Caenorhabditis elegans: one gene and its partner. The protein of the gene in region 2 purifies or fractionates together with the protein of the main gene of each other region. This does not show direct contact. Each region holds a gene or a part of one and is shown on either strand. Other genes may lie near its edges.

The links.
Region 1: the proteins of lin-10 (region 2) and rab-6.2 purify together in Caenorhabditis elegans (affinity purification with western blotting, with the first as the bait; one study listed by BioGRID). This does not show direct contact.

Annotation. Positions count from the first base shown.
Region 1 is NC_003284.9:17,220,507-17,225,130, reverse strand, and holds rab-6.2 (Ras-related protein rab-6.2), read right to left. Parts: upstream 2,657-4,624; 5' UTR 2,653-2,656; coding exon 2,592-2,652; intron 2,532-2,591; coding exon 2,419-2,531; intron 2,367-2,418; coding exon 2,261-2,366; intron 1,935-2,260; coding exon 1,823-1,934; intron 1,232-1,822; coding exon 1,077-1,231; intron 1,028-1,076; coding exon 957-1,027; 3' UTR 666-956; downstream 1-665. UniProt on the Caenorhabditis elegans protein: The small GTPases Rab are key regulators of intracellular membrane trafficking, from the formation of transport vesicles to their fusion with membranes.
Region 2 is NC_003279.8:8,116,178-8,121,229, forward strand, and holds the start of lin-10 (Protein lin-10), read right to left. Parts: upstream 3,138-5,052; 5' UTR 3,137-3,137; coding exon 2,986-3,136; intron 2,341-2,985; coding exon 2,102-2,340; intron 1,503-2,101; coding exon 1,413-1,502; intron 1,205-1,412; coding exon 1,153-1,204; intron 690-1,152; coding exon 466-689; intron 1-465. UniProt on the Caenorhabditis elegans protein: Required specifically for the determination of 3 vulval precursor cell fates P5.p, P6.p and P7.p during late second and early third larval stages; required for basolateral localization of receptor tyrosine kinase let-23.

The DNA of each region.
Region 1 (4,624 bases), on a different chromosome or scaffold from region 2:
AGTGACGATACCTTTCACGGAGTTGTATCTTTCGTACGGGTATAGTTTTGCGTATAAATTTTGCATAAATGAACTACAATTTACGTCACTAAAATGTACAAGTACTTTTGCCCGTTTTCGTGTCGTCGTACCGATATTTTCCGCACGGCATTGAGCGGAACAAATTTTAAGAAATTTTAACAATCTTGAACTGAAACAACTGAATTGGAATCTGGAACTTGTAGCTATTTAACTGAAAGACTTTTTTTTTTTAAACATCTGAAATTATTCCAAAATGGGCTAGTTTCATCAAAAATCTACAATGTGCAAACGACGATTTTTGAACAACATTATGAATTTTTTGTCTTTATTTCCACCAACTTCACTTCAACGTTTCACATATATCTTTCCGGGCCAAATATGTTGCTCTTCCTCATTGTGTTGCTTTTCAGGATAGCAGCTCATTCTTAACCGAAAAGCACAAAGTCAATATTTGATTAAAACTGCGTTGCTTTTCGTCTTTTCTTCCACCTCCCCATCATTTTTCGTGATCTACTGCTGCTAGTCTAACACCAAAAGCGGAGAAGATTTATTCGAGAACAGAGATGTTGGGAGAGTAAAAATGAAAACAAAAAAAAATCATTATCACACTTAAAATTAGCCAAGCAAAAATAAGAAGCAAAAAATTTAAAATAATAATAATTTATTATGTTACAAAGAAAATTACACATGTTTACCATCGCATAAGTTAATAGAGAAGAAGCCATTCAGAGTTCATTCACACAGAAAAAATCGATAATGTTTTTGGGGAATTTTAAGATATCAAAACTTACTGGCGATAGCGCTTTTAAGGGGGATAATTAATATTTCTTCATGACAAAACCATTACGGGGGCGGAGGATGCTTTAAATAAATTATGCGTTGAGATTGGAGTATCACAACCTTTTTTTGACATTTTGCTCAGGAATACAAAGAGATTAGCACCAGCACGATCCCTCGTCGGTGACAATTTGACGCTGACGGATTGGGTCCATCGTGACCACATTTGCTGAAAAAAATCATGGCTTTTTGAAGTTAAAAAGGTTTTTAAAACTTACGTGGCTCCACTGGGTCGTCCTTGATGATTCCTGGTAGGGCTCCGGCGATACGACGGAAAAGCTGCTTCACATTGTAGCCGGCCTTGGCAGAAGTCTCGATGAACATCACATTAAGCTCCTTGGCCTTTCTCTCTCCTTCGTCGGTGGTGACTTGCCTGAACAAAATATGTAAGTCTTATGTCAGTTACAAATTAATAGACCTGGAGCATTACACATTGAGTTTATTAGTTAGGTTAACAGGTTTCAGAAAAAGATAGTTCAGCTAAGACCACGCAAGATCAGCTCGAAACAGGCCAGCGCAAGGTAAGTTTAGCTTGAACTAATTCTGTTTAGAATGCGCATTTTTAGCCTAATGTAACGTAGATTTTGCTCAGGAAAAATCAAATTATGGGAGATTCAGCTTATGTAGCTTATGTAGTAGGTTCAACTGAATTGTGTTTAAGGATGAGCTGGAGATAGAGAGCTTGGGCTTGAAAAGCGTAGGCTCTGATTATAAAAAATAAACTTGAGGTAGGTCCAGTTGAAGCTAGTTCAAGTTAGTGCAGATCCAATTTATGTTAACGTAATTTCAGTTAAAGCTATTTCCTATCTCCAAACAATATCTTTAGAGAAGGTTTTAAGCTAGCCAAGATTTCATACTGAAAGTTATGCCGATTAAAACTTCAGCCTGGAGCTACTTAAATGCATATTCCGCCGTTTCCACTACACAATTTAATTGAATTTTTAGCGGAAACTCTCATTCGAACCTCTTATCGGAAAGATCGGTCTTGTTGCCGACCAACATGATGATTACATCACTTCCACGCTCAGTACGGACGTCGTCAATCCACTTGGAAGTTTGATGGAAAGAGTTGGAGTCTGCAAAAAAGTTGGGGTTAAATGAAGCTTTTTTGTCGTTACCGAGAGTTTTTTCATTGCCCACCCTAGTTCAAAATCAAGATTAAACAAAAAATAATGGTTTCCTTTTGGATTCTAACTTTTCTATCAATATAAATTGTTTTTTGAGCTTCTCTTCTTGCTAGAAGCTTTTCGCATTAGAGCTGCCAGTGACTATTGTAGTATTAAACCAATATAGTTATTATAGTTACTACTATATACACTACTATAGTTAAAAAATTTCTCCCAGAGGATCCAGTGTGAAGCTTTACAGCATGAAACATCAGAAAAACTTCTTCCAAACTTACTGGTGATGTCATAAACCACAACAGCAACTGTAGAATCACGGATGTAGGATGGGATGAGTGAGCGGAAACGTTCCTGTCCAGCGGTGTCCCAAAGTTGAAGACGAACCTGAAATTACGGATTTTGAAATCATTTCTTTACGCAAAAACTGATTTCTTACGGTTCGGTCCTCCAAGTACATGGTCTTACTCAGGAAGTCGATTCCGATGGTGGCCTGGTAGGTGTTGTCGAAGGAGTCGTACATGAAGCGAGTGATTAGGGAGGTTTTTCCGACTGAAATTTAGAAACTTGAGAATTCAATATCTACGGTAGAATTTCAATCAAAATACTCACCACTTTGTTCCCCGAGGAACACAAGCTTGAATTTCTTCAACGGATTACCAAAGTCCGACATTTTTCTGTAATTTTTCTAAAATTAAATCAAGTTTTATTTTAAAAAAATTATAAATGAAACTTCTCGCAAGAGGAACACGAACACGAGACAAAATAACGGAAGAGATGTGGTCACTGCCACGCAGGGACAAAAATCGATAGGAGAACGGGTGTAAGGCACGGAAAAGAGGAGAAATGCAACATTTGGGCCGCATCTGTGTCTCTTTTTCTCATCGATTGTCTCTCCTCGCTTTACGAACAACTGAGCAGTAGAAAACGAAAAAAAAAGGAGACGAAAATGAGAAATTTGAAGCGAAACGAGCTAAAACTGATGAATTTAAACCGTAAAAGGTTTATGAAAACGGAAATATGCTATGCAGTGAACACTTTCCCCCTCTCAGCCGGTCAACCACGTAGCGATATGCAGGGGCAGAGACTCAGGCGAAAGGGGTTTCCCGTCGAGACCCGACCCCTCGGCCGCTCGTAAATCCACACCTGCGCACTGCGCACTGACCATAACAACACGTTTAGATGAGGGAGTTTTGTTTGTTTTTTGAATAGAGGTCAACTTAACGTTTCGGAATTTTGATTTTTGTTCAATAACTTCAAACAAATCTGAAACTGCAGCTCAGAAGTTTAATTTCTATTAATTCTTAACAATTTGTTTGCCTGATCTGTTATTAAATACAAAAATTATTTTAAAAAATAATTTTAAAAAAAGAGGGTTTTAAAAGAAAAAAGTACACAGTTAAAAATCGAAATATTTAATACTAATACTGAATTTTTTTCCAAAACAAAGATTTATTTTTTTAACTTCAATTTTTGCAGACTTAAATAAAAAACGTAGTTTTATCAGTGTTTCAAATATGCAGCTGTCACAAAAGCAGCGCAAACGAGTCATTTTTTGAATTAACATGAAAAGTTGTACATTTGAAAATTTTAGTTCAGAATTCAGAATAATCCGAACTATAGAAACTAAAAGTCTCGGAACTTTTGGAATAATTTTCGGCAAACAATCGTAAAACAATATTCAAATGGATAGCTAATTTTAAAATGAACTCTTCACAGAAAATATGTGTTCTTAAAAAATTTGTTTCATAAATAATAATATTAAAACTCTAATTAGTAACTTCAATTCGCTATAGCTGTGCCATGAACTTTGGAAAATGTGCCTAATCCATTTTTAGCAATCTAAACAAGTCTAAAGGAAAATTATTTAAAGAAAACAGACGTAAAAATTAAAAAAAAACACTTCAAAACATTTATGACTTTTTTTTGGTTTACTTTCAAGCATTTTAATCACCGTTTTAAATAGCTAATTTCCACTGAAGGAGACCAAATGAGTCATAATTTGATATAAATGCGTAGGAGGCATTTTCGTGATTGGTTTTATTATGTTTTAACTTGAATTGCAAAAAAAATGAAAACGATACTTGAATCGTCATTAGATTCATGTCCAAACTCTGGGAAATGTCTAAACAAAATTCAAACAGTGAGATTCAGACTAGGGACGAGAGGCTCTTCCGTTCGGCAAATTTTTTTGTCTGCCTCCTTCCTAAAACCCCCATCTTGCCACACACACGCGTTTTCGGTGTTCAAAAAATGTTCAAAAAATGTCCGAAAAATGTGTAATACAACTTTGAACGTTTATATCTCGGCTCTCACGGAACCGATTTTTGAAATTCTTTTTTCTCTACATTCACAAAGTATAGCGACGTGTGTTCATCTAAAAGGGGGTTGATTTTGGAGCATCCTGTCGGCTCCACAAGCGGAAAACCACACCCTCTTGTTTTTGCGCACACCGAAGTACTGGCCGAAAACCACTTTAAATTGAAGGAAAATTCGAGTTTATGTTCAAAACGTTTGAGACTCGAAACTTAAGTTCTCCTTTTCAATGCCTATCCATTGTATCTAAGTTCATTGTGATATCTCTATTCGTTATTTTAAAAACGATAATTAAAGTTTTGCCAAAATTTCTGCACCTCCCCCCTTTT
Region 2 (5,052 bases):
AGATAGACAAAAATTAGATTATTTGATTTGTTACGAGGATGTGCAGAAAGAGACAATTGTTCCAAAGGGAAAAATATTCGAATTTTTGTTGGCCTCGATATCTAAAGTTCACAGTTCTAATGGTCTAATGCTTATTGTTTAAAAGTGGTGTAGCGCCAGTGGAAATTTTGCCAAAACATGTAGAAAGGTCTAAAAGAAAAAAGGTCTATCGAAATAAAACAACAGCCAAAAATGTTCAGGTTTTTTCAAAAATTTGTGTCAAAGTTTTGGCATATTCCAAATATTCGAAAACAGTTGTTATTTTTGGGAAAGTTGGAGGTTTCTTGCACATTCTATGCGCATACTATGTGACTCCATAAATTGAGTTTTTCACATTTGGCTTTAGGAACTTTGATCATAGATTTCAGTGAAAAACTTTTTTTTTTCAAGAATTAATTCTCAAAATTCCGAAACCGAACGACATACCGTTTTAATATTTTTATTCTGTGATCGTCGTGTTATCTCTTTTTCCATTTCACTCATTTGTTTTCGAATGAGTGAATCCGTTCGATCACCGGATAATTTCCGCTTTTCTTCACTTTTCTCCTCTCCTCCCGCTGATTCTTGCGAATTTTCAGGAGAATCTGATTTTTCGATGACGTCACCAATTGTCACATCGGATGACGTGGAAGTTGGTACAAGAAGCTCATCTGAAACATATTTAGGTTTGAAAATTGACAATTAGAAAAATGTTCAGGGGAAATCCCTTCAACTTTTCGTGTGGTCTCTAAGTTCCGTCCAGACATGATGGTGGGAGACGTACAACTCCTTTCGGACATGGAACAATTAGTAAATCGGCTGAGCAAAAAGAGAGAGTGTGAGATGATAAGAGACGCAGAGATATCTCTCTTGTCTCTTCTTCTCACCAAAATGTTCTCGTGTTACATGCTCACTTGTGACAAATGAGATACATGCTGGATCTTTTTTGAAGATTTTCTGAAGAACTTTTGGAAAATGCAATTTATTCGAAATTTTTAAAGTTGGAGTTTTACATTCCACTAGACGAAGAAGGAAACTTAATACGTTCTGTGAAAACTGTACGCCAAACGTTTGAGATAATGACTGATCTTCTGGCATTTGGCCTGAATTTCTAAAAGTGAAAAACCAACTAACCATTATTTTGAACAACGCCGCTTGTTTCCGTAGAATCTTCTGCTGGTCTCACCTAAAAATTAAAGACTGAGTTTGATTTCTAAACTAGAAGTATATTTTAATGAACATTTTTTAAAATTTTATCTTTTAAATTCCCGAACCACATTTATTTATTTTAGAGCTACAGGAAGAACATGAAGAAGCTCCCCAAGTCATCACTTCGCCTAATTTCCAGCGTTTTGCTTGTGAGTTCAAGTGTTTGGGCTCTGCCGTAAACGAACCTCTCGATGATTTGGTGACACATTAGAGGACACAACACTGCCAGCTGTCTGCCTTCCGTTATCGTCTTCTGAGCGATGAGATGATGATGCCTGAGAATACTTGAAGGTTATGAAGTGCAGATGAGAATTTTGGGAGCCATAAATGCATTGCTTTTGGTAATATATTTCTAGATCTATTTCAATGTCTAGAAATATCAAATACTGTTCTGCATCAATGCAGAAGCATAACTTTGTAATAAGAATTTGTGAACTTCTTGTGAGCTTGACTAGGTTACATCAAAATTAGAATTTCTAGCCGGCAGAGAGTGACGGAGGCGCCTCTCACACGCCTCGAGCGGGTGTCAGCCATGCATCATCAAACATCCAATAAGCATGTAATGTCTTAGGTTATTATATTGTGGCAAATTCGCCAAATCAGAAAATTATATGGTTTTTCCAGTTCACATGTTTTTATTGTGAATAAAACAATTTCGAGAGCTCTAAAAATAGTTCTTTCTGCAAAAATAAATTTCGCAACTTTTCTAGTTGTACAACAATGTTCCAAAATTGCGAAACATACATTTTCTGATGACTAATGTCATTTCCTTCATTTTTTTAAAGCTTATCAACCCCAGTTTTAAAAACTGCTTCTAATGAAAAATTGACAGTGTTTCAATTGTTTTTGTAAAATAACGCTTTATAAAACAAACCTGAGAAGAAGGTCTTGGCTGTTGAAGAGCCGGCTGAAATTGCATGGGAAACGGAATCGGAAACTGTGCTCCACTCGCGGCCATCATTTGTTGAAAATAATGATGCATGACTTCCTGATATTGAGCTGGAGAGAATACCATCTGAGGTTGAGCTTCACCCTCCTGAGCAGGAGCACCCGCTGTTGGAATATACGGATTCAAGAAGGGATTTGCGAAAAAATGACCAGGAGGGATCATTTCTGTAAAAAATCGAATATATTGAAGAACAAGCTTTTCCTATTTTAATTGTGTTAAGTAAGCAAATATAAATAACCAATGTCATACATTTTCATTCTGTGCACAGAAGTTTCCTAGTGCAATATATTTAAAATATTTTCTTATACTTCCGTGTAAAATAGATTTTTGTAGGGAAGGCAACATGAAAGACGTCCAGCCATATGAATAATAGCCTATTTTTGTGGTCAGGCGGCGGCGGGGAAAAATAAGAAGAAGAGGAGAAGACAGGGAATTTTTAATCGAGAAGGTTCGAAAAACAATAATATCCCCTCTATTTTTTCTTATTCTTCGAGTGAAAATATTTGAGGAAAGGTTGACCAAAACGAAGGAGCAATTCCTTACGAAAAGTTAATATAGTCTTACTAGGGCTGGCAAATCAGACTGAACCTATCTGGATTTCAGAGCCTTTTTTCTGTGTTATTGTGTTTTTTTCATATTTTTTTTAACTGATTTGATTTTGTCTTGCTTTTTCAAATATCTAAACATCAGATTTTTGAAGATCCGGGAATATTTAAACACACCATCTAAATTTGAAAAATGACACTCAAAAAACTTGAAGTCTGGTATATTTGTTTACACTTTAATTCAAAATCTCTTGTAAAACTAACGAAATGGGACTTGTTGTTGCTCTCCTCCCCCACCACCACCGGCTCCACCCCCTTTGCTCGGCGGAGGAGTAGGCGTGGCCGATGATGTGGGGACCCCGTGTTCAGGAGACGTCGTGGCGGCTGTGGCTTGTGCTACTGCTTCAGATGACATCCTGCAACAGAATTGTTCATGGTCCGATGGAAAATAGATAGGAAGATGAGGGAAAGAGAGAGGAAGCGGGAAAAGGACATGGATTATTGGATGCTCTTCTCTCGTCTCACACGCGAATTAATTAGAGCGATGAAGAAGAGGGACAAGAGAGAAGCAGACAGAGAGAGAGTTAACGTGGGAAAATTTAGAATTAACAATTGTCACCTCGAAGTTATAAGTTAAATTTTTTCCTAAAATGAGAAAATGGGAGATGCTCAAAAAGTTTTAAGATCGTGTTCGGAAGTACTGTAACACAACATGGAGTTCGAATCTACACAGACTTACAATTATGTAGTAAAAAATCTACATATCTACATATCTACATATCTAAAAATCTACATATTTTCACTCGGGAATCGCTCGCCCACTATGGGGGAGTCTACGCAAGGACAACGCAAGGACAAGGACAACATTCTAATGGAATGGAAACAATTGCCCGACTGCACCAATTCTAGTACAAGCGAACAATGATAACTTTTGTATTCTGTATTCCTTCACGTCTCCCAGCGAGCGTAATAAATTATTATTATTATTATATCTAAATAAAATACTTTCAAATGAAAATGTTGGTAAATTGCCAATTAAAAAAATTGGAGTTTTTCATTAATTTAGAGCAATGCTGCAAATGCGAAGACCTAGGTTCTAGGTTCACTTGTAAATAATTGAAGCGAACTTAAAATTAAACAATGTATTGGACCAATTATGATAGGTGGAAACTGATTAATTGCTATTAATGTAAATATAACATTTTCAAAAAATGTTGGAAAGTGTTAGAATGATATTTTCATCATGGGTGCACTATAGGTGTAGTTTTTAACATTTTTCCCACTGGAGCATAAGAAAAAAGAACAACAAGCGGAGACTGATCGTGAAACAAAATATACATTGAGGAAACCAAAAAATGCAGTGTAAGGAGTTCCCGAAGCAATATGTCGTGCCATGTATGCACGTCTTCTGAATGCCAATTCATTTGTCATGTTTCTTCGACACTCTAATCCCTACTTTCTCAGCCAAATATATGACACGTGTCGTTTTCTTTTTTTGCTGTTTCTTTTATGCCGTGCTTGCTAATCTCCAAAATATCGAGTGCTTTTTGGACTTTTGAGGGCGTTTGAAAAATATGTTTAACCAAACAATTGTATTAATGTAAGCCGCTAACTAAATGACTTTCAATTGACAATTTTCCAATTGTCGCTTTAGATGTTGAAAACGAATTTTTTCCAGATGTTGAAAATAAAGATAACTTCTTGTATTTTAGGACAAGTTCTAAAAATGTGAAAATATAACTGCATTGTGATAGAATTCCGCAAAGTATTTCTAATTTTTGACCTAAGCCATGGGAATCGTGAATGATCAACTAAATTCTTGGAAATAAATGAAAACATTAGAACAGTAAAAAGTTGAAGCTTTAAAACCTATTCGAGACGTTTCTCATTCGAGCAGCGCGGGGTTGAGAAAAATAGGGAAGAGGCGAGAGAAAAAGTGTCATAATTATGCTAATTCTGCTCTTTTCCATCGTTTTCCTTCACTCTCTCTTTCCATCCAACTCTTTTCCAGGGCACAGACAAAAAAGTATCAAAAACGGAAAGAATACACCAGATGACGGGATGAATGGGAATTTGTGATGGACGAATGGACAATACAAAACTGGTAGATGAACGAGAGAGTATATAAAGATGGAAAAAAGTGTGAATAATTTCACGTTTACTGTTATTGCGGAATAGATGGCAAAAAAGTAAACTTTTCAATTTTGAGATTAGAGTTCAAGCCGAAAATTCCGTTCAAAGTTAGTTCAAAGTTAAAAAATGTTGAGAAGTTTGGCACTACTCTACGTTTAACTTTCAAATATTTTGAATTAATAACTGTATTCGTTTCTC